4 linked regions of the Diceros bicornis minor genome follow. The protein of the gene in region 3 interacts with the protein of the main gene of each other region in a pairwise test. Links are inferred from orthologs where the notes say so. Each region holds a gene or a part of one and is shown on either strand. Other genes may lie near its edges.

Region 1 (8,005 bases), on a different chromosome or scaffold from region 3:
CCGCATGCACAGTTGCACTGAGTGCTCAGAGCACGTCTGTGAGGCAGGCATTCTTTACTACTGCCTTTGAGCAGATAACGAAACTGAGGTTCAGGGAGGTACAGTAACCTGCACCAGGCCACAGAGCTAAAAATAAACAACTAATTAAGTCAGGACTGGGCTTCAAACCTGGGCAGGGCTGACACCCAGACCCCAAACTCACAATCCTAACCCCAAGTGCCACTGCTGGTCAGGTTTCCACACATCTACTTCTTGACTTCCCACCGTCGCCAGTTGGCTCTGAGCTCAGTAATCGCGGCTTCACTTCCCATAGGAGCTAAAGAAGAATGACTGAGGTTTGCCATGAGCTGGGTCTCACGTGTGTGTGCTCAAGTGTGTTCCCCTCCCTCCCACCTTTCATTGCAGTGAAGTAGCCGTCCAAGGTTCCAGCGGGGGAGCGGGAACATGGATGCATTTATGTGCATTTGTGGTTGTGAAGAAATAAAGGAAATTACAGCCCCAACAGCAGGGCAGGCCCAGGCCTGACACCATCACAAGCAGATTCCCCTCCGCCTGCGAGGGAAGCAGTCAAACTCGCAGACCAGGCTTCTCCCTGCAGTGTGCTCACATGGCCGGACCTTTCCATCTACGGGGAGGATCCGTTTGTCCCTGTCTGTCTCTCACACACCTCACAAGCTCCAGGAAGACAGAGATCACGCCCAGGTCACTTTACAGAGCGGGCACTCAGCAGGCCATTACTGAACGAACAGATGAATGAGCGGTTAAGTTCAAGGCTTTGGAGTCCGACTGACCTGGGTTCCAATTTTTTATCTCACTGCATGGCCCTCTGCAAAACACTTTGCCTCTCTGAATGTCCTCATCTGCAAAAAGGCTGCAGAGGGCTGTGGCGAAAAGTTCCTAAGAAAAGGCACACACAGAGTTCAGCATAGACATGGGACATATTATATGCCCAAAAGCTGGTAGAAGGGGAAAAAACAAAATCAAGGAAGGTTTGAAAACGGGAATAAGAAAAATGCCTGGCACCTCAGAAGGAAGAGGGGAAAAGAGGATTGGGGAGAAGGACTGAATGCCCCTCACACTGGATTGTGATTCCAGACTGTGGCCCCAGCAGACACTCTAGAGGGAGACTGAGGCCCAGAGGAGACACAGGCAGAACAGGACGAGGGCTGTGGTCTGGGAAGGGGCTCTAGGAGGGTAGGTCAGGGGATGACATGGGTCAGGACAGGGTCACAGGGCTCAGAACCAACCAGGGTGTCAGGGCAGGACTCTGCCTGTGGAGGCTGCAGAGTTACCGTCAGGGCGCCTTGGCACACCCCACATACAAGTTGGGCCTTGGCTGTACACCTTCTTTCCTGGGCCTGTAGAGATGCCGGTGGTACCCAGCCCAGGATTACCGTGCTGATTCAAGGAGCTAGGGCCCTGAGGAAATGTCCCATTAAGGCAGTGGGTGGTAAAAGGCCTGCAGAGAAAGGATGTGACTCCACCCATCTCTTCTTGTTTTTGGTGGGAGGGTGAGTTTGTCCCACTGGCCAGCGACTTACAATGGCAGAAGCTGTGCAGATTTACACAAAGCATGAAGCCACATCCTCTCCCACTACGCAGGAAACAGGCCTGCTCTGGGTGGTCTGGTAGGCCCAGCAGGTAGTAGTGTGGTCCCTGGTGGAGCCACTCCCCCGGGCGCCAAGGTCAAGGGCAAGGACTCCGAGCAGACCGCACCTCCTGGCTGTGTAACTAAAGCAGCCTGAGCCTCAGTTTCCTTGTGTGTAAACTGAGGGTGATGGGAGTACTTATCTCATTAGGGGTCACGAGGATTATGAGTCGATGTATATAGAGTGCTCAGCCCAGTGCGTGGCACATAAATGCTTGATAAATATAAGTAGCTAACAAGTGTATTTGACAATTATTGTTGTCAAATAGGTAGATAGTGAATATTTGCTCCAAATCAGGCCCTGAACTGAGGGCTGGAGACGACAGGGAGGGACGGATAACAAACACTGAACACACAAGTTACAATTAAGAGAGGCGATCTCAGAGGAAGCAGGATAGTTCAGTAGTTAACCACAGGGCAGGGTAGGATGAAGGACTCTAGTGCTAAACTGCCTATGTTTGAATCCCGGCTCTGTCCCTTTCCAGTTATGTCACCTTGGGCAGGAGACAGTCTCCCTGAACTTGCATCCCCTGGTGGAAAAAATCAGAATTTCTACTTCACAGGCTTTTGGTGAGGCAGGTATAAAGCGCCTGCTGCAGCTCTAGGAGGAACCTTTCACTAGCCAGCATCAGGCGGAGGATGAGGAGAAGCTTCTCAGAGACGGCGGAGTTAAGGCAAGGCCCCACTTGCTTCTAGGGATGATTGCTGAGAAACCCACTCAGGACTCCTTAACAATCGAGTTTTCTTCCTCCTCTTCTCCCTGAGCACTAAAACATCTGCTAGCAACTAGACGGGGGAGGGAGGCAGAAATCAGGCAAATGCCTCCAGGGCATCAGGGTGTTCAGCAAAGGGCATGGGGAAAAGAGGGGCAAGCAGGCAGGGACGCAGTAAGGCAGCCCATCCTTCCTCCCAACCCAGCTTGCCCCAACAACCCAATCTGTCCCACTACACGACAGCCTTCTCACCTTCCCCCAAGACACTATCTCTTGGCTTCACTTTGACTGGCTAACAATGCACCATCCAATATGGCAGCCACAAGCCACCTGCTATTTAAATTTAAACTCACTAAAATTAAATGAAACAAAAACTTCAGTTCCTCAGTGGTACTAGCCACATTTCGAGTGCTCAGTAGCTACCGTACTGGACCATCATTGCAAAAAGTCCTATTGGACAGCCCTGGCCTAAAATCTTCTTTGATCAAATGCTACTACATCTTTCCTCCGCTCAAAAAAAGTATGCCTCTTTTTTAATCTTAGAAAGAATAAGTGGGAGAAATAAAAGTGGAGAAGAAAAAGCAGGGACTTTAATAAATTAAAAATATATAGGTGGCCTAGTGCTTAAGTTCAGCATGCTCCCCTTCGGCAGCCTAGATTCAGTTCCTGGGCGTGAACCTACACCACTCTGTTAGCAGCCATGCTGGGCTGGCGGCCCACATACTAAAAAGTAGAAGAAGATTGGCATGGATGTTGGCTCAGGGTGCATCTTCATCAGCAAAGAAATATATATATAAGCAAAAAGTAAGGACTCTGAAACACCTCCTCCTCTCCCCCACCTTCACCCCAAAAAAATGAAGGAGGGAGGCAAGAAGGAAGGGCAGCAGGGAGACCAGCCTGAAAGGAAGCAGATTTAATCAGCTATAAATGACCTTTCCATACTCCTGCCCCAGTCCGGTCCCGCCCCACTGACCCAGCCAATGGGCTCCTGGGACTGACATCAGCTGTGGAGAATCTGACTGCTCCAAAAAAAAGGGACAGAGAACAACCAAAAGGCAGGAGAATGCTCCACCCCCATCCTGCCCCAGCAACCTGCTGCAAGTTAACACCGGCACTAGATCCTCCCACATATTACTCCTGGCCCATCCTCTTCACCTTCCTGCCCTGTCTCTCTCCCTACCTAGGGCTTCTTCCCAGACTCCATCTTCCCTTCCTTATAAACTGGGGATCAGAGTGTCAGACCCAACCCCACAAGATCTTGACATATTTCCCTCCAGGGCCCTCACCAATCCAGGCCCTCCCAAAGTCACCTCCTTTCTTCACATCTTCAAGGTCGGTTTCTGTCCCTTCCCTCCATCCTCACTTTCAACAGCGGTCAACATTCCTATATCCTTTATCATATATCAGATCCAGTTCTTAGCACTTTATTTAATTTTCACAACAACCCTATGAGGTGGCCACTGTTACCATTTTACAGAGAGAGAAAATTAGGTGCAAAAAGCAGTCCCTTGCCCAAGGCTACACAGCTGGAAAGTGGCCCATTACATATATGAACCCACATGGTCTAGCTTCACAACCCACCTTTTGAACCACTTCTCTCTTACCTGTAAAATTTTAGTTCATAGCTCTCCTGCAGCCCACTGCCTCTCTCCCTCTAAATAAGAGCTTCCAACTAGATTTGTGCTAGGGGAGCTTGCCGATAGCAGCATCAACCTAAAGGGAGTCTCACCCTTTTGACAAGAAACGAGGCATTTTTTAAGTGTTGCTAAGAAATGCGGGCAAAGTCTGGACCTCTCTCCTTTCATTAATTCAACAAATATTTACTGATCTTCTCTTCTGTAGAGTGACCAAAACAGACAAGACCCCTGTCCTGGCATTTATCAGAGAACACAGGATCAAACGATTTTTTTACGCAATTCATTTTAAAATCAGAATTGTAGCCAAGGAGCAAAGAAATACAGGGCACTATAAAAGCCCGTGACGGGGGACCTGGTCTCTCTTTTATCCTCTTTGAAGAGGGGATTTTTACCGAGAAGAAAGTCTCCCCTTTCACTCTCCAACCCCTGCGCGGAAAAGTCTCGTCTTCCTCCCAAGTCCCTCCAAGCGGCCTCCCCGGGGGTTGGGGGGCAACCAAGGAGTAAGTCCCCTTCCTCTCTCCAAGTTGTCTCCCTCCCTCAGGGCCCACAAAGGAGCTGCCTGCTTTTTCTCTCCTGAGGAAGTGGAAGTTCTCTTCCTGAGTGTCCTCTCCGAGTGGTTCTCCCAGCCCTTGTCCCTTCTGTGACAGCCCTGCCTTCCCTCCCTGCAGGGACCCCATACTCTCAAGATAGCGTTGGAATCCATAGTCCTCCTTGTGGAAAACTCCCCAGTGCCCCAGGTACTCACAGATCTAGCCAGCCCCCGAACCCCAGTCCGCCGCAGGAGCAAGAGGCCAGCCTGACCCAAGCCTCGACTTGACCCCCACACACTCGCCGCGGCAGCCGCCACCGCCATCTTGGCTAACAACCCTCGGTGACCCGCCCCTCTCCTCGGAGAGACCGGGGGCTGCCCCTTCATAAATCTGACTCAAATGCCAGTACCACCCTGCCAGCACACCACCTACTACCAGTCCTGCGGTCGCTAGGACACATAGATGGATGGATAAAACAATCTGGCTTCCCAAAATCTACTCTGATCGCCTCATTGTAGCTGTTTCCGTAACAGGCAAACAGGCAAAGAAGAGGACAACCTCACCAGTGCCTCAGGGCTTTAGGGCCCTGGGGCCTCGGGTAGGAGGAGCCCATGCCAAGGCCCGCCCCCTCTTCTCTACTGTCCAATGGTTTTCCTGAAGTTGAGAGGCGGGGTGGGCGGGGTCAGGTTGTTGGTAAACGTGGAGCCACGTGCGGGCGCCAAAGCTCGGGCTCCTGGATCGGCGCGTGCGCACTGAATACGCAGCCAGTACGCAAGCGCTAGCTTTTGGACGGAAGCGACCGTCCGCGCTGCACGTGGGATCCGGGGCGATGCAGACTCACGCCAAGATCCGTAAGGAGTCCGGAACAGAATCCGACCCTCGAGGCCCCGGCTGCAGCCTCCGGCACTTTGCCTGCGAACAGAACCTGCTGTCCCGGCCGGATGGCTCTGCCTCTTTCCTGCAAGGTAAGAACTTAACCCAGTAAATACTGCCCGGGCCGTGTTCCCTCAAGTCATAATTGTTTTGGGGCGCGGCTGCAGTGTACCATGCAAAGGAGTGCCCTCCTCCTCCTATACTAGCTGGTAAATGTCCCTCCTGGACTGGCACACAACTTCATGCCTGGCTGGATACTACCAGGTACGCCAGGGTACATATATCTCTTCCGACTAGAAGGAAGAAGATATTTCCATTCCGGTAAATAACTCTTCAGAATGAGAGCGGGGCAGACCTTTCCATAAGAATGAATACTTTAGAATAGGGAAAATTTCACCGGAGTAAATATCCCCTTTGACTAGATTCCTTCGTCTCCCACACGCACACCCTGAGTCCACACATCCCAGGCTGAGGCAAACCTGTCCAGTTGCATAAATACCCGGTAGACTGACCAGTCACCACTACCGGCTTAATTACTTCCCAGACCGTGGCAGATCTTTTACCCCAGTAAATACTTTTCAGATTGAGGGTAATGTCCCCACCCCACCAATTGGGTAAATATCCCTTTGACTAGGATACACATCTCTCCATGTGAGTAAATATCGCTAGATTGGGGCAGGTCTTACTTATTGAGTAAGTATCCCCTTCTTGTAGCTAAATACCCCTCAAACTAGACTCCACTCCCTGACTGAGATAAATATTGCCCTGGAGATAAGCCTAAGGATAACCCCCATGGATGCTTCAGTCCCCTCACTAGGGCATTACCTTCTACCCAGTACAAAGCTCGTCTCATTCATTTCTTCACTGAACATGTACATATTTGTGCTAAGTACTGTTCTAGGCAGGGAGAATACATGATAAAAAATTTTTTTTTAATCCCTGACCTAATGGAGTTTACATTGTAGTCAAGAAGACAGACAATAACTAAGTAAAATGCCATGGGGAAAAATTAGGAGGGAAGGGGAATAGAGTGTGCCAGAGAGGGTTGCAATCTTGCACAGGATGGTCAGGAGAGGCCGCAATGAGATGGTAATATTTGAATAAAGACCTAAAGGTAACGGAGCAAACCCTGAAGATATCAGGAGGGAAAGCACACCAAAGCATGGGGAACAGCAAGGGCAAAGGCCCTGAGGCAAGAACTTGCCTGGTATGTTTGAGGAAGTCAGGAGACCACCGTGGCTAGAGCAGTGGGAGGAGGTTTTGGAGACAGGTAAGGAGGCTTGTACATCACAGAAGGCCTAGTGAATGCCATGGGAGCCATGTGACATGGTCTGAGTATATTTTAATAGAATCTCTCTGGCTGCGGTGTTGACTGTAGATGGTATGGAGGAAAGGGGGAGATGATGGTGGCTCAGACCAGAGTGGAAGCACTGGACGTGGTAAGATTCTGGGGTTATTTTGAAGGTAAAACCAACAAAATTTGCAGGTGGTTTGGTTTTGGGGTATGAGAAGAAAGGGATAACGCTAAGGTTTTTCCCCAGATCAGCTGTGCTGGGGGAAGGTGAGTTCAGTTTGGAACATTAAGTTTGCAGTGCCTAGTAGATATCACAGTGGCAATGCGGACTGGGCAGTTGGACATACAAGTCTGGAATTCAGAAGAAAGACCCAATCTGGACATGTAATTCGGAATCCTCTGGCTTTAGATAGTATTTCAGGCTATTGATTGGATGAAATCACCAAGAAAATGAGTATAGATAGAAAAGAGAAGAGGTTGCAGGACTAAACCCTGGGTCTTCTAACATGTGAGGAGCTAGCAAGGTAGGAGGAAAACCGAGAGAGGGTGGTAACTTGGGGCCCAGAGAATGTGTTTGAGATGTAAGGGCCGACCAACTGCATCGTCAGTCCTACTGAGAGGTTGCATCACGTGAGGATGGAATAGACCCATGGGTTGACAATTTGGAGGTCACTGGTGACGCCATCAAGAGCTGCTCCAGTGGAGTGGTGGGGTCGAAGAAGGGAAGAAGAGAGCCAGTGGAGACAGCTCTTCCAGAGCTTTGCTGTAAGATGATCATATAGGTGGGGCAGGAGTTGAAGATGGATGTGGGTCCAAAGAGGAAAGAATTGCTCAAGAACGTGAGAGGGGAGGGTGGTCCTATGCTCAGGTGGACCACAGACAGCTCGTCTGGAGTAACAGGAATGAAGCCCCCAGCAGGATCTAGTTCTGCTTGGGTAATTTCCCCCTTTAGGGCAGATTCTCCAGGAGCCATGAGAATTCCTCAGTTGTGTGGCAGCTCCTCCTTCCAAGCCCCAGGAAAAACAGCTCCGACCCAGGCCCTCCCCCAGGCTTAGCTCTCTTGCTAAATTCAGATGCCTGGAGTTTCTTAGAACTTAAGAAATAAGGAGAAAGGTAGCCCCTTGCATGTTGTAAAACCGCAAAGCCCCAGGACCCTGGAGCAAGAGGAGTCCTTGCAGATCCTCAAGAGTATGTCCCTTGTGTGCTTCTGGCCTCAGGACCTCTGGTGAGCTTGTTAAAAATGCAGCACCCCAGAACCCACCCCACGCCTACCAAGGCTCACCCTCCACATTTTTCACTGCTTGGTGATT
Region 2 (6,782 bases), on a different chromosome or scaffold from region 3:
TTCACGATGCTGCTCTGGTGATTCTTGTACATAATCTGGTGTGTTCACCAATGATTTAAAGGGATGGTGGTCAGGGATGCCAAGAGAGTGGTGTTCATTTCCACTTCAAACCTTCAATGAGGGGGTGGGATGGAGAGAATGCTGAATCTTTTTTTGATGGGATGGGATTTTTCTCTTTGTAATTATTTCTTTAGTTTAATTAACCTTTTGGTTGTTTGTGCAATATTATATATTTTAAATTATAATGCATCTCCCCAGAGTATTTTGTAGCTGGGAAAAGAAAAAAGGAAAAAAAAAAAAGATTCTAACAGCTGTTAGTTTTGTAATTAAAAAAGAAAGAAAAAAGAACTTTGTCCTGAACCTTTTCCAGACTTGCCGTTAACAGCATTAAAGAGATTCAACAGAAGCTGGAAGGTGTCTGGGGGTCTGTTCTTGTCCCCCATGGCAGCTGCCCTTGGAGGCAAGGCAGAATGCACGCCATGTGCAGGGTGGCTGCCCACTTGGAGCCTGGGGGAGGGGGAGGGATGGGGGTTAGCCTGGGTCGTGGGGAAGTCCCTTGTCCTCATCCCAGACTCAGCTTGGCCTTTGGGATGAGGAAGGGACAGGGCCTCCAACAGACCTCTCACCAAGACAAGGAATCAAGACCATTTCTGCATTCCCAACACTTCTGCTTTTATTTGGAAAGAAAGTTGCAACAACAGTGGTTCCGATTGCTCTTGGTCATTTTTCTCCTCTCCTCCCCGTGTATGTGTATGATTCTGGGGTCTATTTTTAATTAACTTTAGTTAAACACCTGTATGAAAATCACTTGTCAGCCTTAATAAAAGGGAAGTCTGAACGAGGCCCTCTGGTTCCATGAAGATCTTTAAAGGAAAAGAGAAGTAAGGCTGGGGAGGGTGTAGGTAAGTTTTAGGATAAGTAAACTTAAAGTGTAAAATATATATCACCATTTTAGAAGCGGGTTTTGGGTTTGCTTTCTCCCCCTACTTTATTGGGGAGGACTTGCCATTGCTTTTACGAAGTGCTTGCTAGCCATGGATGCCAACTAACTTCTTCGATGGAAGGCCGGAGAGTCATGTCTGGTTCCAGGAGCCGCTTGAGCAGGTCCTGGCATTCAGCCGAGATGCCCAGATGAGTGGGGAAGGACACCCCCTTCTGCTGCTGCCACAGCATCTTGGGGATGTCTGTGTCGTCAAAAGGTAGGCTGGCACAGAGCATGACGTACAGGACCACACCCATGCTCCAGACATCACCCTTCTTGCTATCGTGGGGAATACCCTGCAGCACCTCAGGGGCAGCATAGGCTGTGCTGCCGCAGAAGGTTTGGCTCAGCTCCCGGCGTGACTTGGGCAGCACCTTGGCGAAGCCAAAGTCAGTCAGCTTCAGGTTGAAGCCTTGCAACAAGGCGTTCTCGCACTTGAGGTCTCGGTGGGCCACGCCACAGCCGTGGCAGTAGCGGATGGCCTCGACCATCTGACGGAAGAGGGCCTTAGCCTGGCTCTCAGGCAGTGGCCCCCCATTCAGCACGCAGTCAAAGACATCCCCTCCCTCAGCCAGCTCCATCACCAGGTAGATTTTCCCATCGGCGGACTCCAGCATCTCATACACCTGGATGATGTTCTTGTGGTCCAGGATACGGACGATCTGGAGCTCCCGAGGCAGGAATCTCTGGATAAACTCTGAGGAAACAAGGGGAAAAGAGATGGGGTATCAAGGCTGGAAGGGCCTAACTCCTTACTCCTGTCTCCTACCTTCCAGCTTCTGTCTGCCCATCACGTCTGGGTCTTGTGCCTTGGTTGCCTTTAACAGTCTTAAATGTCTAGCTGCTTGGACATTGCAAAGAATGTTCACCTCTATTATTTTTGCATTAATATATTATTCAAAGGAACTAGTCCCTGCCAGCCTCAGGGACTGTTGTGAGCAGCCTGTGAGACCTTGGATATCAAGGTGCTTTGGGGACTTGTAGACAAAGCCATTGAATCTCAGTTATTAGGCCTGATTTGCCCACAGTGAGGTGAGCGAACTCCTTCCACCCCTGCCTCCTGACCCACAGTTCTTTCCATGAGCCCTGTCTTTCCCATCTCTACCTGCCTTGGCACCAACTCCTGCCCTCTGCTAGCCCTGGCCGTGGCCTCTCTCTGTTCCCCTCCTGGAATAAGAGAGGCCTGGCAGGCTCAAGTTCTGCCTCTGAGGACTCTCCACCTCCTGCCACCTTAATTTTGGGTTTTGGAGGGTGTGATGTTCCTGGACTCCCAGCATTCTCTGTTCCCCACTGACCTACCCCAGAGGCACCATCTCTCTTGCTTTCCCTGGTTCCAGACTAAAGGGAGGAAGGAATGAGCCTTCTGACTGGAGGAAGCACCCACCCACCTCAGCCAGCCCTCCCTTCTTCCAAAGGGGCCCCAGCTCACCTTCTGGCCCTCCCATCTTGTCTATAATTTTAATTGCCACTTTTCTTTGGTGTTTTTTGGAAAATGCTTCTTTGACTTTTGAGTAGGTCCCTTCCCCAATGGTCTTGCCCAGCTGGTACCCATTGGAGAGCAGAAAGTCCTCCATGCTGTCTAGCGCCTCCTTCCTATCACCCTCTCAGCTCATGCTGCCTCCAGGAGGCAGCTCTACTCCACCATTGCCCTTGGCCAGCTACTTTTCCCCCCAAGGACTTCATCCGCAGCCGCCCCCAGCGCTAGAACATTCTCCGTCTGTACACAGCAGCCGCGGGTAGTGGGAAGGGAGATGGCCGGACATTTTAAAACTTCGGCCCAATTGTGATGTAAATGCTGTGTGACCCTTAGCCAAAATGGGCAGAGCCCGTACCTGCCCTCAAACGACCACCACCAAACCCAGCGCGGGTTAAGTCACTGGTGCGCCCCCGCCCCCACGCCAGGCAGTGAGTCGCAGGCTTTTCGGGGGGGGCGGCGCACACGGGTGTCTGCGCGGCCCAGGATGCCGAGCTCCCTTTGGTGGACGCTGCCTCGCAGCTGGTTGCCGTCTCCTCCTGCGCCCCCATCGGGCAGCTGGGGGTCTGCGCGACCCAGTGTCAAGGCGCCATGGCAAAAGCCCTCCGGCACCTGGCTCGCGGCCGCGCTAAGTGCCGGGGCGGCGGGGAGCGCTGGGGGATTCCTCAGTGGGAGGAACGGGTTCTGTGAGGTCAGCGCGCCGCGGCCCGGGTCACAATGCAGCCCTCCCCCTCGACGCCCGGGCCCGGACACGCCGCAGACACCTGCCCGGCTCCGCTTGGACCGGAGCGTCCTCCCGCAGCCAGGGCTCAGGCAGCTGCTTTCAGCCTGGGTCCGGCCTCGGCCTCCGGCAGGTGAGCAACGACCCAGGGCGCGGGCGCGGGGAGGGGGCGCCTGGCGGCCCGGGAGCAGCCTGAACGCCACTCCCCGCGCAGAGCGCCCCGGGGCCTGGACATGAGTGCCCGGGAGCCCCCGCAGGGTCGGAGATTCCCCATTGAGGCCGGAGACTCCCCTGGCCTTGCTGCCGCCCCCGAATCCCAGGACAGCCCAGAGCCGGTAACCACGGAGCACAACCCAGTCAGGTGAGGCCGGCGCCCCTCCCCCCGCGAGCCCTCTTGCCGTCCCGGCCCTCCCCACCGTCCCGAGGGGGAGCTGGGCGGACGGCTGCGCGCCGAGCGCTTCCGGCCCCGCCCCTGTCCCACTTCCCATCCCCAGACACCCCCGTCCCCCCAGTAGATGACCACATCCACGCCCAAACCTCGGGGACCCCAGGTGCCCTCCCCGGGAGCGTCCCCGACAAGATAGGCCGGGACCCCGCCTCAGCGTCCCCTGTCGCGCCCCGTCTCTCCAGGCCGCTTCGACGCTGCCCGGGCTGCCACTGCCTGACGCTGCTGCACGTGCCCATCGACGTCTATCTGGCCATGGGCGGGAGCCCCCGGGCCCGCGCCACCTGAGTGCGCCTGCGCACGGCGGCTCCGCGGGAGCCGGGCGGGAACGAGGCCCGCCGCGGGCCACCACGCTGAAATCGCGCACACAGAGCACGAGACAATGATGCACATTTTAAAATAAAAGAATGATGCACATTTTAATAAAGCACAGCATAAACTGTTCTTTCCACTCCGGGCTGGCTGTGTATGTCTATCCCGTCGGACCGGGCCGACCTACTGCTCCGCCCCATCCAATAGCACCTTCCCTTGGGCTGTCTCCTCCTTTGGACCCAGCCCTAGGGGCATGCTTTTCCGGGTCCCCTTTCTTCTTGCTGGGGGCCAACCCCTCCCCCCATTTGTTGCTGGTCCTGACCTCTTTCAGGACTACCTTTCAGCTTGGGCCCTCCCTCATCCTTCTTCCCATCCCTCTCCTTGGTTCTTGAATGGAATTCGCATTACTGTGCTGGACTCAGGGAGCCCAGAGCAGCTCACCACTGGAGAGGGATGGATAGACAACTTAGAGTAGAGAGAATGGCCACCCACACCAGGCTCACTTAATTCTCCCAGGATGGAATTAGCTTTTGCTACCTGCTGTTTGTTACCCTGGGCACCTCTGGCTTTGTTGGAGGGGTTAGGAGCTGCCCTGTCCATCTTGAGTCTTGGTTATTCCTAGAAAGAAGATTGAGGAAGAAGTTGTTTGAAAAACTTTGATTTCTTATTCCTATTTTACAGGTGAGGGAACTGAGGCTTGAAAGACTTGTCCCAGGTCCCCCAGATGATGGGTGATGCTAGCACATTCCTCAGTGTCCTCAGACTTAATGCTCTAAAAGCCATCCATAAGAGGGGCCATGACACGAAGGCTGCCTGGAAGTGCAGTATTTAAGCTGAACGAGTATTTTCCCACTTTCTAATTTTGCTTTGAAGAACCTGCATTATTATATATTTTTTTGCTGTCCTTTTTTTATTTTATTGAGGTCATAATAGTTTATAACATTGTGAAATTTCAGTTGTATATTATTATTTGTCATCACCATATATATGTGCCCCTTTACCCCTTATGCCCACCCACCAAGCCCCTTCCCCTCTGGTAACCACTAATCTATTCTCTCTGTGTGTTAGTTTATCTTCCACATATGAGTGAAATCGTATGGTGTTGGTCTTTCTCTGTCTGGCTTATTTCACATAACATAATACTCTCCAGGTCCATCCATGTTGTTGCACATGGGATGATTTTGTCTTTTTTTATGGCTGAGTAGTATTCCATTGTATATATATAACACATCTTCTTTATCCATTCATCAGTCAGTGGACACTTGGGTTGCTTCCACTTCTTGGCTATAGTGAATAATGCTGCAGTGAACATAGGGGAGCAAAAGTCTCTTTGAATTGTTGATTTCAAGTTCTTTGGCTAAATACCCAGTAGTGGGATAGCTGCATCGTATGGTATTTCTATTTTTAATTTTTTGAGAAATCTCCATACTGTTTTCCATAGAGGCTACACCAGTTTGCATTCCCACCAGCAGTGTATGAGGGTTCCCTTTTCTCCACAACCTCTCCAACATTTGTTGTTTTTTGTCTTGGTGATTATAGCCATTCTAACATGAACCTGTACTATTTTAACACTGGAAATAATATATGTAACCCAAACGTCAGGTTCAGTCTCCTGTCCCCTGAGATCTAAATACAATTGACTCAACACCCCTCCCCTAATCCACATGGGGTAGAAGTCCAAGCCCTCCCCAGAGCACTTCAGAATCCCATGGTCACGCTGAAGGGCAACCTTTCTCAACTTCCACACAAAATACCCTCCCAGGCAGTCCCAAACGTTATTGGGACTTATTGGCTTATTGAAGGAGAGGACGTTTGCCAAAAAAAAGTCTACTTCAAAGTGAGGACTTTAGACTTGACCATTCAGTCCTCTGGTCCTTTAAATACCCTGGCTCTTGAAAGCCCCTCCATGCCTATCTTTCCCCTTCACCAGGATAATCCCTGGCTTCAGGCCATAGAACTGGCCTCTCTCTCCTTCACTCCTCTCCTCCTCCACCCTGACCTCCTGCAGAGCCCTACTCCACCCCCCAGGGACTCTCGGTTCCTCTCTCTATTAAGTAGAGTAATCCAGCTGTTCCCATTCCCACCATACTCCATGTAAGCCCTACTCAGCCTAGCAACCTATGCTGCTGCTCTGCAGAAAAAGGGCCTTCCCCCCCCCCCCCCCCCCCGTAAACAGTACTCACCCTCCTTAGGAGGCCATTGTAATTTCAGAGAGAAAAAATTATTGGCCTCTGTATTGATAAGTTCTCTCCACTGCGAGCAACTGAAGTTAGCTTAAGCAAAAAAGGAATTGATTGTTTGAAGTGGCTGGGAAGGACATAAGCTAGTGATTAAAGGAAGAACTGTAGGAACCAGGGCATCCTTGGGCTGGAACCAAGGATTCAACCCCACCAGACTGCCCCATCATTCTTGATTATCTCCTCTGGGCAGGGAACATGGCTGCAGCAGCTTGGAAATCCCAGGAAGGGAGCTGCTTTCTCCAGTCTCAGTATACCTATCCCTGGAAGGGCAATAACTGGCCCTTCTTAAATCATGTGCACACTCCTTGGGCCAATCACCATTGTCAGAGAGATGGGAGACTATAATTGACCAGGCTGAGCCATAGGTAAGCCTTCCCTTGAGGTGCAAGCATAGCCGGATGATTGACAGCATCATCAGAAAATAATGAGCAGAAGTTGAAGAAAAAACATTCTGGGATCAGAGACAGCTTATGCAAAGATTGGAAGATTGGGTATGCTGGGAGAAAAAGATACCTGCAAAAAAGGGGTAGAGAGTGGCAGGAGTCAGGATTCCACGGAACTCTGTTCCATGGCGATCAGGAGCCTTGGACAGTGTTACCAGTCATCAG
Region 3 (7,606 bases):
TCATCGCTACATTTTCATGTGTTGCATTTCTGAAACAGCCTTCATGTTTATGTGCGTAGTCTTTTACTTAAAAGAAGTCATTTGCTTTAGCTATCAATTCCAGCTTCCAGCTTTATCATTAAAGATTGTCGCATCATACTTACATTAATTTTTTTCCCCTTACTCAAGAGAAATAGTTCTCTTGAAATTCACACTACAGACAGAGTTGGTAAGTAGTGCGGTTTACAAAAACAATTTCTTCGTGTACTTCCTATTATGTGACATAGCAGAACTATACTAAAGAAAACTGAATAAAAATAAATTACCTAAATTTTAAAACATATTTTACCAAAGACAGTACTATTTATTAGTAAATAAACCTATGTGCACACAAGAACAGGTTGCACTTTCTACTGGAGCAATGAGAAGCTTTAAATTCAGATATAAAATAGATAATTTAACTTATATTAAACAGAATAGAATTATATACATATACAAAAGTCATGATTGCCTAACTATGCATACCCTAGATCGGACTGGGAACATTTTTCTTAAAAATGCCTATTCTAATTAATCATGTCAAAAGACTGCAATCGGGATATAATTAAAAAAAAAAAAAAGCAATAAAGACAGCTTAATAGAACTCGAGCTGTGAAATCCTAAATAATTAATCTGATAATTTACCTGAACAAAATGTAGAATCATATATATACCAAAGTCCCAGTTACTCATGGTACTTATATAATTTTGCTTATGAGATTATGATCTGTTACTTTTTGTTATACAGATCACATATTCAACTACACATACCTATTTACATATGACATCCGGTGAAAAATGAAGAAATGGTCTTAAATGCTTGGTAATCAATAAAAATACTTTCTGAGGTTTTAATACTACCTTACTACAAACAGAATCCAAACTAGACAATGATTAACTAAGCAAATTTTTTTTCTGTTACTCGTTTGGTTAAATTACTGTTTCAAAACAGGATGGGAATTTATAATTTAGCGAATCTTTTTCTCTGAGGTCTTTACAAGTGATTAACGAAAGTACATCCAGGCTCCCTTTTAAAAATTTTGCTTAGCAGTTTTCAAATAAATGAATTACAATTTAAATAACTTCTTATAGTTTAAATAGCCCCATTTGAATGCAACTCCAGAAAAGGCAAACTTTTAAAAAAAGATAATTACCCTACAACTTTCCATTCCTTTAAATTTTTCCCCTTCAATTCAGGGAATACATTTTCAAAACAGCACAAAATATAATGTCATCAAACAAGTTTAAATTGTATCACATTTTTAAATGATATGGGTCTTACAATACTCTCTATATAAATGGTTAATTCTTTTCTCTGTCTTCTGAAAGAATTAGAAGTACTGCATTCATATTAACAAAGTTTGGTTAAACTGCCAGCAGGCTGACCTTTATTTATAATGCTCGCCATTCTTTACTTCTTTCATACAAAATCTCTTTCCGGTAACCAATAAATTAACCAAATATTTCAAATCATCTTTGCACTTTTCATCTAAATATGCTTTGAATTTATGAATTTACAAGATTATCTGAAAGTTTGGGGTCACTGAAGTGGGTAAAGAGAAAGTTGAAATATTTTAGACTACACTTGTATTCTCACATGAAAACCACAGACAAACTGAAATCAAATGTCATGTGAACCACCCCAATTTCCTTTTCAGCCTACAGCAGTAGCTACAGCATTGTTCTGCTCAAGCCTTTAAAAAAGTCCTTTATGCTTTCTACTTCCTCTTCTCTGCTAGACATCAGCCTTCTGAGGGTCACTGAACCAGGGAGCTGGGAGGATGCGGGTCAAGCATAAACAAGCCCCCCTCTTCGGCCTCCCAGTATAGTGTTAAGGTATACTTTTAGGCCTGCCTGCCTTTGCTCACGCTGCTGCCTCTGCCGGGAAAGCGCCCTCATGAACCTAGCCAGAATCCTGTCAAGGTCCATCTCCAACGCAGTCTACTTGATTTACTTCCCTTAGGTTACAAGTGGACCTAAACCTTCGCTGCATACGATATGAGACTCCCTCCCCTGACCTCTAGCTGTTTCTTGGTTAACTGGTTTACCCCCAAAACAAGAGATCCACGCACTTATTAACTGAAAATAAATATTTACATAAGTGATAGAAAGTTGTTTTCATTCCGACTCATATTTTAAAGCACGAGTACTCTAAAAATCCTCTTTTCCCCTTCTTTCCAACAAGGGGGAAAAACAAAAACAAAAATCGACTTCTGCTCCGTAAACTAGAAAGTATGCACTTTACAGTAAAAATTATCCACTTCGATCAAGCAACATTTCCACTTAAGACCTGTTAAAATACCCCTGGTGACTTTTAAAGCCGCACCACATTTTGCACAACTCGCAGCACAACGGCGATCACCCTTTGGCACTTGATGAAATTAAACCAAAAAAGGTAGAGCTCTCCTGAGGTCTGAATGTTCCTCATTCCTGTTCTAAAACCATTTCAATATAAATCACTTTTTAAATACGAGAATTCTTTGCCCTCCTTTATTTAGATTCTTATTACTTCCCTAATCCTAAAACCAAGTCGTTGGAAATTTCTAAGGTCCCAGCTATCATCATGGCATCAAATTACAGAGCGTGACTTTGATTTCGCACGCAAACCCTGAAGCAGGTAATTTTTTAAAAGGCCGACAATTTGCCAGAAGAGGCGATTTTAAAGACCGAATGTGCCACAACCAAAACTGCGCCCGGAAACTCTGGGCAGCAAGACCCTCGGACTAGCTCCTTCCCCCCGGGCCGGGTCGGCGCCGGGACACTCACCCGAGGCCATGGCTCCGCTCCCCGCGCCGCCCCGCTCCAAGCGTCGGATCGCACGCAGGCTGCCGTAGTCAGTGACCCGCCGCTCAGTCGGGCGGCCGAGGGACCTCTGCCGGCGGGACCCCCGTCCCCCTGACCACCCCCGGGGCCTCCTCCTCCTTCCCGGCCTCCTCTGGGTTTGCGGCTCACACCTTCCCCACCCCCTTAATTCTCGCGCTCCGGGTCACCCGGCGCCGCCGGTCCAGGCTGCGGAGCCAGGGACAGGGGGCGGAGCGCGGCGACAGCCGAGCACCGGAGAGGCCGACAGGCGGGCAGCCTGGCGGGAGGGGGATTTCCCGCGGCTGACGTCGGCCCCTCACCGCCGCCTTCCCGGGGGCGGGGGGCGGGGCGTCCTGGCGGCGGGCGCGCGCGCGTCCGTCCACGGCTGCCCGCGCTCCGCCCCGCCCCTGCCCCGCCCCCGCGGCCACTCCCGGCAGTGCGGCTGGCTGGGGACCCGGGCCGGGGAGCGGGAGCGCGGGATCTTCGGGAGCGCAGGGAACGCTGGGACCCGGGAGGTGACGGTCCCGAGCGTGCGGAAGCTGCCGGCTCCTGAGAAATCCCCCTCCTCCGGGTTGTTCTTCGGCGCGTGGTTTAAAGTTCAGGAGCAGGTGGGAGGGTGCGGTGACGTCGAGAGGGCCGGCCGCCCGGGAGCACTTGGGGGCGGGCCGGGCGGCGAAGTAGGGCTGGCCCTCCCGGCTGGGGGGTTCGACTGCCTGGGGTTTTCGATGGGTGGTTCCCCCTCTTCCCGATTTCGCACATGCAAATCGCCGCCCCCGCGCCGGCAGGCGGCTCGGCGCAGGCGTCCCGGTGCGCCCTCGCGGGGAAGTGCGGAAGCGGCTGTCGTCTGTATTCTTTTGTAATTCGTGTATTTGCATACGGGGACCCCCGCAGTCTGACTTTCCCCCTTTATGTCTAAAATGCGAGGGCTTTGTTAACTTGACGTACTTTACCTACTAAAACTTTTTAAACTCTTACGGTCCGCGCTGTGAGTTCGTTGTCTCATTACGCGGTGTGCTCACAATTAGTGAACTGGACAGTGTCTTGGCATTTGACGAGGATACCGACAAGGAAGGGGGGACTGGAACGAACGTTTAGTGTGTTGCAGGAATCTGGTGTAACTTGGTTTCCTTCATGTGCTAAGCACCTCCCATGTGTCAGTTTACCTCATTTATAAAGTAGTATTATCCTCATTTTATAGATGAGGTAATCGGGGTTCAGAGAAGTTAAGTAATACTTCGGAGAAGTTAAGTCAGTCCCTCAGAATGCTAGTAAAAAGAAAAGCACAGTTTAAACCCAGAAGCTGTCTGACTCCAAAGCTCTATGTCCTTTCCGCTATCCCTTACTGCCTAAAATAAGTCTGAAGGGGGAATGGGGAATGTCAGCCTGCCATACAGGTGCCAAGCTGGAGGACCCAGTTGGGGAAATAATTAAAAATAAAATCTACCAACCCCAAAATATCCTCTCCACAAAATGTAGAAAACTAGAAAAGAATGAAACAGCTTAATTATTGAATAAGCACACTGTGATGCGCTAAGGAGATTACAAAAGACAAAAAAAAAAAAATCTCACTTTATATAGCCATGGGGAGACAATCCATTACATACCTGTTGTCTTTATCCAAAGGAAAAATAATAGGAAGTTACATTTTTGGGGCCAAAAGCCGAGGTTTAAACTCCCACAGAGGAAGAGAGATGGGGCACCATCCTCCTTAATGTTCACATTTCAAAGAGATGGCTCCAAGGACCCCAGAAAGACCTTAGGGGAATGCAAAACTGGCAAGAGGCGTATTTAGGTTTTTAAAAGCTGTACAAACATTTAAGAGAGACAGAGAAATCATTTACAAATTAGGTCTTTCTAAAGGAATTGTTCAGTGAAAACGGAGAGGGTAATGTTCTCTGTCCTTTTTGGCACCAGGGAAATTTTTTAATTTAAGTTTTTAGGCTTTTATTTACCCTTACAACCCCAAATGTCAGAGCTGTAAGGGCAAACAGCACAAATGTTTAAGAATCCATTAGGAGAGTGAGGGACAAATAGGAATGGAAAATATTTTGTATGTGTTTGTTTATATTCCACCTCCAGAAACTGATTGGTTATTTAGGTGCTTCTTTAACTTAAGAGGGGATAATGTTTGTTTACTGAAAAGTTCTGGACCAAACAGAATCTGTCCCAGTTGCAGGACCCCAGACCAGTCCCAAAAGCACTCCAATCTATGAAATCACAAGCTGCACCTTATGAGATTTAGTAACACTACAGAATTTTGAACTAATTAAGTTTTATCTTTTATTTTTCAAAGACTCTGACTTATTTAAATCTCCTCGCTAAGAGGATGGCATGTTTATATTGATTTCCAGGGCTATTTTTATTTGTCACATGATTAAGCTGTGGATTTATATTATCTCACTTTTTTAAAGGTTTTTTTTTTGTAAAACCCTTTCACTATTTTTTGAAGTAGCTGAACCCTTTTTTCAAAGATCCAGTCCACATCTGAAAAGTGAAAATCTTTTACTTGTGCAGGATAAACTTAATTAGAAAAAAAGGAAGATTACAAGACAAACTGATGGATGGGCTAAAAACAACAACAAACAGTGATTTTGGTTTTCTTTGGGACTTATGCTGGGGAAAAATTTATTACTGTAAAGATAATAGGCAGCTAGTTGTTGGGGATTATAGAGAAGAATAGCACATGGTGTTTTTTCCCCAAGAGCTTACAGTTGTTGGTAACCGGTCATTCAGTTCAACAAATATCTACTCTGTGCCAGGTGCTCTTTAGGAGGTGGCACGTACACTAATAAACAAGACAAAATTTCTCCCTTCATGCAGCTTTGTCCCACGTGAAGACATCAAGTATGTTAGCAAATAAGATCATTTAAATTACTATTATTAAAATATTTGTTTCTTTATTGCTATAAAGAAAATAAAGCAATAGGATAGAAAGTCTGAGCAACCAGGTACAACGGAAGGCTGGTGAAGAAAGAGGTTTGAGAGGGAAAGATCAAGAGTTGTGTTTTGGACATGTTAAGTTACAGATGCAGAATGTTTAGACATTCCACTAAACAGTTGAATATGCAGAACTAAAGCTAAGGGGAGAGATCAGGGCTAGAAATAAAGATTTGGGAGTCAGCAGCATTTCATTTAAGATAATACCACCTAAAGAAGGAGTGCAGATACAGAAAAAAAAATTTAGAGAGACTGAGGATCCGCCAAGTCTTAGAGAAGTGGTGGAGAAGAAGGAGCTGCCAGTGAAGTAGGAGGAAAATGAAGAGACTGTGGTGTCCCAGAGAGTGTTTCAAAAAGAGTGAAAGTGGTCAGCTGTGTTAAATGTTGCTGAGAGATTGAAAAAGATGAGAATAAAGAAATGACCTTGGATTTGGCAAGATAAAGGTCATTAATGACCTTGATAAGAGCCATGTCAGTGGAATGGTGGGGATAAAACCTGAATTGGAGGAGGTTGAGAAGAGAATGATGGAAACAATGAGTATAGACAACTCTTTGAAGAGTGTTAAAGGAAACAGAAATGAGGCGATAGCTGGAGCGGTTGTGGAGTTGTGTTAGGCTAAGGGCTATCACTGACAGCTGCAGTCTCAACAGGTTAACATAATTAAAGTCTACTTACCATTTGAGTCACAGTCCAATGTGAATTGAATAACTTTCTTCCAGGAGTAACTCAGGGACCCTGGTGCCTTCTATCTTGTAGCAGCAACATGTGGCTTTCAAAGTCACCTTGGGAAAGGAAAAAGAGTAGAAGATCATGAATGGGAGATTTTTATAGGCCAGGCCTGAAAGAGGAATACATTACTTCTGATCACAGTCGACTTTCCATATGGCCTCCACAGGGGGCTGAGAAATATAATTTAAGAAATGTAATTTAGCTGTGTGCCCAGAAAGAAGAGAAGAAAATAGATATCAGTGAGCCCTAGCAGTCTCAGACACTGAAGTTTTGTTTTGTTTATAGAGGGTGATATTAAGGCATATTTGTATAAAGATGAAACTGACTCAGTAGTGAAGGAGAAATTGATAATGATAGAGAGGAAGGGGGTAATGGGTGGGGAAGGGAGGAAGGATGAAATCTAGAGCACAGGTTATGTGGTTGGCCGTAGATTGGAATGGGGGAACCGCCTCTATGGTAGCAAGAAGGAAGGCAGAGCACGTGCAGAGAACCTTTGTTTCTTGGGACTGGTTTGGTTATCAAATGTCCCACCATGTCTGGTTTTCAGTGTGTGGGATATCATACACCTTGCATTTGGATAGCTCTTTGGAGCCTATGGGGGACCACATAGGACCACGGTGATTGATTTTATTCTGAAATCTTGTTATAACTACATCTATTCAGCTTGATGACAGGTGTCTTTTTTATTCTTTCTAGAACAACAAAAAGTCTCTTATAGAGCAATTTCACTTTCTTTCTCTCACTCTCACTCTTTCATATTCTTCTAGGATCATAGACCTGGAACACGTCTATTTGCTAATCAGATTTGTTTCTTGAAGGGTGTAACTTCTTGATCGCTGCATCATTAAAAAAAAAAAAGATTTTATGTGTTTAAGGCATGTTCTTTTAGTATCAAGAGCAGTGGTTCTCCACCTTATCAGATCAGTGTCCACTGTTTTATAACTTATATTTGTAATATCCCCTTTACTACCCTGAAGTGAAATTCATAGATATATACCTTATGTATATATTTTCAAACAAAAATAATGCTCTAAGAGCAATATCAAGCGTAAATAAAATGAAAGCCATTTGTAAAAATATAATATTGACTTCAATATGTAAACACTTGGCATGAATAAT
Region 4 (7,915 bases), on a different chromosome or scaffold from region 3:
TTTCGCCCACCGCTGTATCCCCAGAGCCTAGGACAGGCCTGGGATATCTGCTGAAGGGAGGGAGGATCAGCGCTCACAAACACCTGGCCAGCCCTGGCACAGAGAACCCTTTATACAGAGGGGCTTGGTCATCAGATTGGAGTCGGAGAGAGACAGGTGCTGACCTGGGGCTGAGGACCTGAGGGCTAGGGTCTCAGGGCTGAGTTGGGGAGGGGGCCACCCTCCCTGTGGGAGCTGGCAGGGGCTGCCTCTCAGGCTGCTGTGCCCTGGCCAAGCTGAGCCGCCCCTTGGGCAAGCCCAGGAATGTGAACAGACAGACACACAGCGTCCCGGCCTCCCTGCCTCTGGGTGGGGCCTCCGGTACCCACACCCAGAGCCGGTAATGACGCTGGGATGGGACCACGAAAAATAGGCCACGGAGCAGGACAGGCCATGCAGCTGGCCCTGTGGCCCAGACCCAGCCTTAGGGTCCAGGGAGGAGCCCGCTCACAGCTGAGGCAGGGCCGGCTCATGTGTGGGGGCAGAACCCACCACAGGGCAGGTCCCAATGAAAACTGGCTCCTCCCCTGACCCCTCCCTCTCAAAGTTCAACATGCCTGGTCCCCTCTCCAGCCACCATGTCCTGGCAAGAGAGGACCACCAGGACCACCATGCCTCATGGAACTCCACCAGGGTCACATGATGTGTCCTGGGCCTGGACAGAGGGACTTGAGGTCTGGGATGCAGACACATGAAGGACCTCATCCCGGCCAGGCCAGGCCCTGGACGGAAGTGCCCTGTCCACGTCTCTGAGGCAGCACGGTTTCTGAAGACAGCGTTTGCTCACAGGGAGCCCTGGGACCTCAGAGGCCAGGAGAAGGGACAGGCCCGCCAGCCCTTCCCAGCCTGACAGCAACACATTGGGAAGGTGGGCTCTGAAGCCCACACTAGCTGCTAGGCCTCGAGGGGATGGTGTGAGGACCGAGGAGTGCAGGGCTGGAGCTCCTGGCACAGAGTCACAGCCGTCCCTCCTTCCCTGTCCTCTCCCTGATGCTCCTGGGGTAAGAAGCTGCGAGATCATTTTGCTCACATCCTGGTGTCTCCGCACATAGCAGAGCCTCACCTCAACCCAGTGCAGCCATGTTGGGGAAAGGGCTGGTTGTCTCTCCCCCTCAGCTAACCCTTAGCCCCACAGGAGTGGGGGCAGGGTGGGTGGGGTGGTATTCAGCTCAGAGGTGGCCTAGCATGGGCTCGGAGCCACGTCCTTGCCACGTGGCCTTGGCAAGGGGAGACGGGGGTGCTGTGAGATGAGGCATGATGGATGTGGAGAAGACACTCCCTGGCAGAAACTGAGGCCTGGAGTAGGTGAGAGGCTGGCTCACTGTTCACGTGAAGCCCCTCACCCTCAGAGTGACAACGGGGGGTGAAGGTTCACAGCTACACTGCCAGCACGACACGGGTGCCCACGCAGCAACACTGAAGTACGTGAGCTTGGTCCAACTTGAACGTGCCTGTTCCTGGGGGGTGGGCAGACACCAGGGCTGGGGCCCCACAGAGATGGCTCTGAATGCATGGCCTGGCCATGGCGCCCCCTCTGGTGCAGCAGAGGCTCCTGGAGGCCCCGCCCGCGGCCCGCTCCTGCCCAGTGCTCGCTCACCCCACTGACTCAGTGTCGGGTCTCAGTTTCACTCTCTGCTCAGACTTTCGGCCAGATGAGCTCCCCAGGGTGGGGCAGTGTCTACTTCCTCACCTTGTTCTGGGTTTGACTCCCCCTGGGCTGCCAGGGGAAGACCCTGAGCCAAGGCAAGATAGGACACGCACACGCAGTCACATACCGATGACCCCCACCGCACCCCCTCGAGGCCTCGCTCCAGCTGGGACACGCCCACCCGCCCGCTCACCGTCCCAGGGATGTAGTAGAAGATCTTGTCGGCAGTGGTGTCCCCGTCGGGACCCGCCTCGGTGCCAAACAGACCAGCCAGCTTCCTCGCACCATCCTCTCTGGGGATAAGGGAGGGGGGCTCACAGCCTGGCCCCCAAGGCAGGTTGAGGGCGACCCTGTGACCCAGAGGCCGAGGCCGTGCTCCTGCCCCCCTCACCTATTTCCCTTCAGCGAGGGCTTTCTGGAGAGGGAGGCCCGGAGCCTCCGAGGCGCCTGAGGGACGCAGTGGCTGTTTCCCATGGGTGGCGGTGACTGCTGCCCCGAGCACAGCAGGTCGACGTCTGGGTTCCTCTGTCCTAAGCCTCCTGCCCCCACCTCCTGGGGCGGGGCTCCGGGAAATCTCGCCCTGTATCCAAGACCTGGGGAAGGGTGGAGACTTTCTGGGAGGAACCTGGCCCCTACCTGAGCAGAGCCGTTCAGTGCTCTCCTGAGTCTTTCACACGTGCAGTCCAGCCTGCCTCTCAGCCCAGTCAAGAGCCCCCAACTCAGCTGCCAGTCTGTACGGGAAGGGCCTTGAACACCTAGCCTGGGAGTGCGTGGCCTGCCTGCACTCGGCCTGGGGGTGCCTGGGGCTGGAGCTCCCTGAGTCCAGGGACCACCTTCCAGGCCTCACCTGCGTGAGCGCACATCCTGTTTCCACCTAAATGCCGTCTCTGAGTCAGCAGTGACTGTAAGGGGGTGTGTCCTTGCTCTCAGCCTCAGAAGCGGGAGTTTGCAACATCAGGGAAGGGGCCAGAACCCTCTCCCAGGCTCCTTTCCCGCCCCGGCCCAATCCTCACCCTGAGCCAACGTCAGGGTCCCCGAGGCTTACCCAGAATCAGGAAGGAGACCACAACCCTCCCAGGTACACCCAGGCTGTCACGGTGAAATGGGAAGAATGCCATGCACGCCACCCTCCCCAGAGCCTGAGGTGAGCCAGGGGACACAGGAGCCTCTCAGGACCAGGCTCATGCTCACGGTGGGCGCTCATCCAGGACATCACCAGCCCTGCCCCACCTGGACATCACGGTGCTGCCTCAAAACCCCCAGATGCCAATGCAGCGCCTCAGCCCAGCTGCAGACCCACCCCGGGGCCCTCCCGATCAACAAAGACAGCACCCTGAAAGGCGGAGATGGACACTCAGCCTCAGGCCCAAAGAGCCCAAAACACATGTTTATTGTTCAAGTCAGCTCATATTGCTCTGTGTAGTCTGGGGCACATGTGTGCCCAGCTCAGTGCAGAATCCAGAAAAGACACCACCCTCACAGGACGGAAGCCCAATTTGTGCCCTCCCCGGGAGCGTGCCTGGCTGGGCAAGGAAAGGGCGGTATGCAAAGTGCAGGCTGGGGGGTCTGCCTCCGCTCAGAAAGCCCCCCACCAACCCTGGCTGCTCTGCATCTGCTCCTTGGTCCCTCCAGGCCTGCAGAGTCGGAGTTGGCCCAAATGTCCACCCACATCGCTCCCTGTGCCCCCGTTGGGGTGGGAGGACACCCTGGAGGGCAGCTTGGTCCCAGAGACACAGGACACTTTGAATAAACATATAAACTGGCAGCTGCAGCGCTGCTCGTCGGTCAATAAATAATGAATAAATAAATGAGTAAATAAATAAACTGCACACACAGAAACTAACTCTGAGGAATGAACACAAACGGTGGCCTTGACGCAGAGACGCGACAGACGGCGCAGGACGCCCCCGGGGGGACTGCCCCGGGGGGCTTAAGGCATGTGGAAGGCTGTGGGCTGGCCTCTGTGCAGGCCGCGCCACGGGTCAGAGGCTGGTGGACGACACGGACAGCGTGGGCGAGGAGGGTGGCGGGAAGTTGAGCAGCTCAAGCACCGCCACGCCCACGCTGCTGCGCCGCGTGAACATGCAGGACGCGGCCACCCACTTGTTGGTCCTCGGGTTGTACTTCTCAATGGAGTTGAGACTGGAGCTGCCGTCGTTGCCCCCCACGGCGTACAGCCAGCCGTCCATGGCCACCAGGTCGTGCGTGCTCCTGGGGGCAGGGGGGTGGTGGGCTTGAGTGGCAGGGCGGGGCCCCCAGGCCATGGGAGGAATCTCTGGAGTTGGGTTGGGGCATGGAGCTGGGGGAGCCCGGGAGTAGTGGGCAGGGGGCAGGGGATGGAGGGGTGGACACACCCCACAGTGGTGAGGCTGTGGGGCACGTATGTCAGTGTGTGGAGGGGAACACCACGAGGGGGACACGACTGGCCAGCGAGGTGGGGCTGGTGCACCTTCGGATGTTCATGGGCGCCACACTCTCCCAGGCACCGGCCTTGGGGCTGTATCTCTCCACCGAGTTGAGGCAGCTGGTGCCATCATTGCCACCGGCCACGTAGAGGGCCCCCTCCAGCACTGCCACACCCGCAGAACTGCGCCGGCTCAGCATGGAGGCCACGGGCGTCCATGCGTTCACCTGCAGTCGACGGGATGGGATGGGGGCAGCCCCATCACAACCTCCCTCCACCTCCATGGTGCAGACCCCTACTCCAGGGCAGAGTGCTTGGGGGTGGGATGTAAAAGGCTGACCCTCAGGGGACGTGGGTGGCCAAAGTGATGACCTCAAACAGCTCTGGGGAATAACCGTGACAGGGGCATATTTCGCACCTGGGGTTCATACTTCTCCACGGTGGCCAGGTGTGAGGAGCTGTCGTAACCACCCACGGCGTACAGGTTCCCATCTGCAGAGAGTCAACAAACCCATGGTGCACCTGTTGGCACAGGGTCTCAGGTGGCAGGAAGGGTGGGCACTACATGAAGCAGGCCCTGTCACCCACCGAGCATGGCCACGCGCACGTATCGTCTCCGGGTACTCATGGCGGCAACAGACGTCCATGCTCCCATCAGGGGGTCATAGCGCTCGGCACTGTGGGCATCAGGACCGCCGCTGACCTTGAGCAGTGGCAGAAAGGTTGTCCTGGCCCCTGGACCTGTCCTCCCCATGGCAGGACTAGAATCCTGTGCTGGGTAGTCATGGAGACTGACCTGAGTCTCCCTGGAACAGGAAGCAGGGCCTGCTGGGTAGGCACTGTCCACCTGGGCCCAGCCCTGGACTGGTGGGAAGGACCCCAGAGAGGAAAACGGGGCAGCTGGGCTGGCACATATGAGGAGGCCTGGGGACCCTGGTGACTCCAGTCAGGGGGAATCCCCCTTTGCTCCCCTCAAGCGTGACCTCTGCAGTCCTGATGGAGCCGTACCTACTGCGGAGCCAACCCCAAAAGGCCACCCAACCCTGACCCCAGCCACTACCTGTTGAGGCAAGAGGCCCCATCGTAGCCACCAGCTGCATACAGGAGCCCGTGCAGGGCAGCCACGCCCAGGCAGCTGCGCCTCGTGCCCATGGACACCTCTGGCTGCCAAGTGTTGGTGACAGGGTCGTACGACTCTACGGTGGCCAGGTCTGAAGTCCCGTCGTAACTAGGAGAGAGGTCCGCTGCCGGTCAGGAGTGGCCTGGAGAGCATATGCCGAGCCCCTGCCCTGAGAGCGTCCTCCACACTTACCCGCCCACAGCGTACAGCCGGTTCCCGACGGCTGCGACGCCCACTCGGGCCCGGCGTGTGGACATGGAGGCCACTACGTGCCAGCGGTCACTGCGTGTGTCATATGCTTCACAGTCCCCGTGGATGGCGAATAGGCTCCCACCACCTAGACAAGAGAAGGTGAAGGGCAGGAGAACGGACCCAGGGAGGCAATGGGCTGGGGGCTCTGGCACAGCTCGAGGTCGAAGGTGTGGGGACTCCAAGAGCGGTTGGGGACAGGGACTAGGGAGTAGGTCACACTACACAGGGTCCTCCGTGGAGGAACAGAGGAGCAGGAGTGGGGTGGGTGCAGGACGTGACCAGCACAGGGTGGAGGAGCTTGTGCTAGGCTCACGGAGAGAAGACGCAGGGCAGAGACGTGGGGGCTGGACAGGAGGGGACGGGAGAAGTGGGCATACCCACAGCGAAGAGCACGGGGCCAGCACCCTCACAGCGCCGGGGCCGTGTGCGGCTAGTGCCCAGCACGCCCCTCTGCTCGGGCAGCAGGTGGAACTTGAGGGCCTCGATGAGCAGGTCCTTGCAGTCAGGGTGGTGCCTCACCAGGCTCTCGGCGTCCACGTGGCCCAGCAGGAAGTCCCGGCTCAGCAGGGGCAGGCGCACACACTTCATCAGCTGGGGTAGGGGTGCCACAGTCAGGTGGCAGGTGGGACGTGTGGGCACACTTGGCCCCGGCACCGAGACCACCCTCAGACACCCTGAACCTTTCTTTAGGCACATGCCTATACCACCCAGTGGAGTCTCTGGACAGAGGAGCCCAGACACACCTAGGCCCTTGGCCACTGCATCCCCTCCTGGACACCATGGGACCACCCAGGGCCTGGCCTCACCCGAGGGACATGCTGCCGCCGAGCGTCCACGTCATGCTTGACCCAGCTCAGGACGGCACGGTAGACGTCCTCTTCTGAAGGCACGTTCAGGCTGTCGCTAGAGACCAGTTCCAGCACCTGCGGGTGGGGACCCTGAGACCTGAGATTTGGGGAGGACCTTGGGGGCCCATGGAGCCCTAAAGGTGCCTGGGAGGGAGAGTCCAACGAGGGGCCCACTGTTCCTATGAGGAGGGACCAAGCAGGGTTAGGAGCCACAGATCTGGTTCCTAGGGATTTAGTCCAGAGTAGCCCTGGGCATGTGGAACGAGAAACTGAGGACGGTAGGCAGAGGTGTACTCAGAACAGAATGGGGTCAGGAATCAAAGGTGAAGGCTTGGGTGGAGTCAAAAGATGGGGCAAGGGCGGAGGAGCCCAGAGAATGGATGGTAGGGCTGGAACATGGGTCAGAGGCTGGGAATAAGAACCGAGGAGCAAAGGGCCAAGTCTTAAGAGCCCAGGGGAAGGGGGCTGGGGGTCAAGGGCTGGGTCAGGGTCCAGGCTATACTCTAGCTGGCATTACCTGTTTCAGCGGCAGCAGCATGAATTCCTCAGTCTTGGCCACATCCACGAAGTGCTGCAGAACGTACCTGTGTGCCGCCTTGAGCAGGTCACTGCATGAGTGCGTGTCGGCGAAGCCTCGGATGCCCAGACAGTTGGAGGGATCAAGCTGACTCAGCAGGAACTTGCAGCAGGCGTCACGGACGCCGTTCAGCTGCAAGAGGCTAGCGGCTGGGAGCAGAGTCTGTGGGTTGATATGGGAAAGAGGGCCGGGGGAGCAGGGACAGAGAAATGAGATGTGAAGAACTGAGGGGATGGAGAGAAACACAGGGGGGTGCTGGGGACGCAGGGAGAGCTGAGGCTTGAGGCCCAGCGGGGAGCGGACTGAGGGATGAGGCGGCTCACCTGCACGTTGCCTTCGCCCACCACGATCTCAGCTGTGTACGCAAACTGCACCAACTGGTCCAACGCCTGAGGGTCGATGTCATGCAGTGTCACGTGTGTCTGGCGACTCTCGCTCATCTCATCTGTGGGGACAGTGGGTCAGGCCGGTGCCCGCTCTGGAAGATCACAGAGCGCCCCCAGTACCAGACGGGAGGGGGTGGTACTTGCTTGTGAACATGGCATGGAAGTAGGGGCTGCAGGAGGCCAGCACCACCTTGTGTGCCCGGATCTCCTTGGCGGCCACGTGCAAGACGATGTCACACAGGAGGCCTCGCTGCCGCATGCGGCTCATGGCCACGAAGGCATCGTGGTAGTGCCGCTTGGAGTTGTGGGACACAGTGTGGCCCTCGCGGCTCAGCAGCTGCATTGCACCCTCCATGGGGGCCGTGGGCCGGGCCTGCCGCGGCCGTGCACGCTCTGCCTCAGGGCTGCAGATGGGCAGAGCCAAGTCAGGGTGCACTGTGCAGGGAGCTGCTCACCCAACCCAGACCTCGGGCAGAGTCAGGGCACCCGGGAGGCCACCCCTCCCCTAGCGGCCCAGACCTGGCTTCCATCAAGGACCAGCACTCCAGCACCACCTCCCCTGCCGCCTGGGCCCCACCCTACTCTGCTTCCTTTGCTCCAGGGAGCCTCCCCGGGGTCAACAAGACTCCTGCAACAAGCAA

What was found.
Region 1: the proteins of REL (region 3) and EXOSC5 interact in binary tests that used the Homo sapiens proteins (3 or more experiments, as listed by UniProt). The two-hybrid records come from large-scale screens. The link is inferred for Diceros bicornis minor from reciprocal best matches to the Homo sapiens genes REL and EXOSC5.
Region 2: the proteins of REL (region 3) and TSSK3 interact in binary tests that used the Homo sapiens proteins (3 or more experiments, as listed by UniProt). The two-hybrid records come from large-scale screens. The link is inferred for Diceros bicornis minor from reciprocal best matches to the Homo sapiens genes REL and TSSK3.
Region 4: the proteins of REL (region 3) and PLEKHN1 interact in binary tests that used the Homo sapiens proteins (3 or more experiments, as listed by UniProt). The two-hybrid records come from large-scale screens. The link is inferred for Diceros bicornis minor from reciprocal best matches to the Homo sapiens genes REL and PLEKHN1.

The regions. Positions count from the first base shown.
Region 1 is NC_080773.1:15,381,792-15,389,796, reverse strand, and holds the start of EXOSC5 (exosome complex component RRP46), read left to right. Parts: upstream 1-4,994; coding exon 4,995-5,126; intron 5,127-5,252; coding exon 5,253-5,493; intron 5,494-8,005. Other genes in the region: BCKDHA (2-oxoisovalerate dehydrogenase subunit alpha, mitochondrial), read right to left, coding at 4,744-4,914. UniProt on the Homo sapiens protein: Non-catalytic component of the RNA exosome complex which has 3'->5' exoribonuclease activity and participates in a multitude of cellular RNA processing and degradation events.
Region 2 is NC_080752.1:47,105,565-47,112,346, reverse strand, and holds TSSK3 (testis-specific serine/threonine-protein kinase 3), read right to left. Parts: upstream 2,557-6,782; coding exon 2,412-2,556; intron 1,680-2,411; coding exon 1,015-1,679; 3' UTR 516-1,014; downstream 1-515. Other genes in the region: protein FAM229A, read left to right, coding at 3,174-3,310, 3,392-3,538, 3,808-3,910. UniProt on the Homo sapiens protein: Serine/threonine protein kinase required for spermatid development and male fertility.
Region 3 is NC_080751.1:26,337,960-26,345,565, forward strand, and holds the start of REL (proto-oncogene c-Rel), read right to left. Parts: upstream 3,003-7,606; 5' UTR 2,795-3,002; coding exon 2,785-2,794; intron 1-2,784. UniProt on the Homo sapiens protein: Proto-oncogene that may play a role in differentiation and lymphopoiesis.
Region 4 is NC_080752.1:21,946,981-21,954,895, reverse strand, and holds the start of PLEKHN1 (pleckstrin homology domain-containing family N member 1), read right to left. Parts: upstream 3,005-7,915; 5' UTR 2,162-3,004; coding exon 2,079-2,161; intron 1,981-2,078; coding exon 1,881-1,980; intron 1-1,880. Other genes in the region: KLHL17 (kelch-like protein 17), read right to left, coding at 3,670-3,898, 4,137-4,318, 4,510-4,583, 4,680-4,768, 5,152-5,319, 5,404-5,548, 5,841-6,054, 6,270-6,386 and 3 more. UniProt on the Homo sapiens protein: Controls the stability of the leptin mRNA harboring an AU-rich element (ARE) in its 3' UTR, in cooperation with the RNA stabilizer ELAVL1.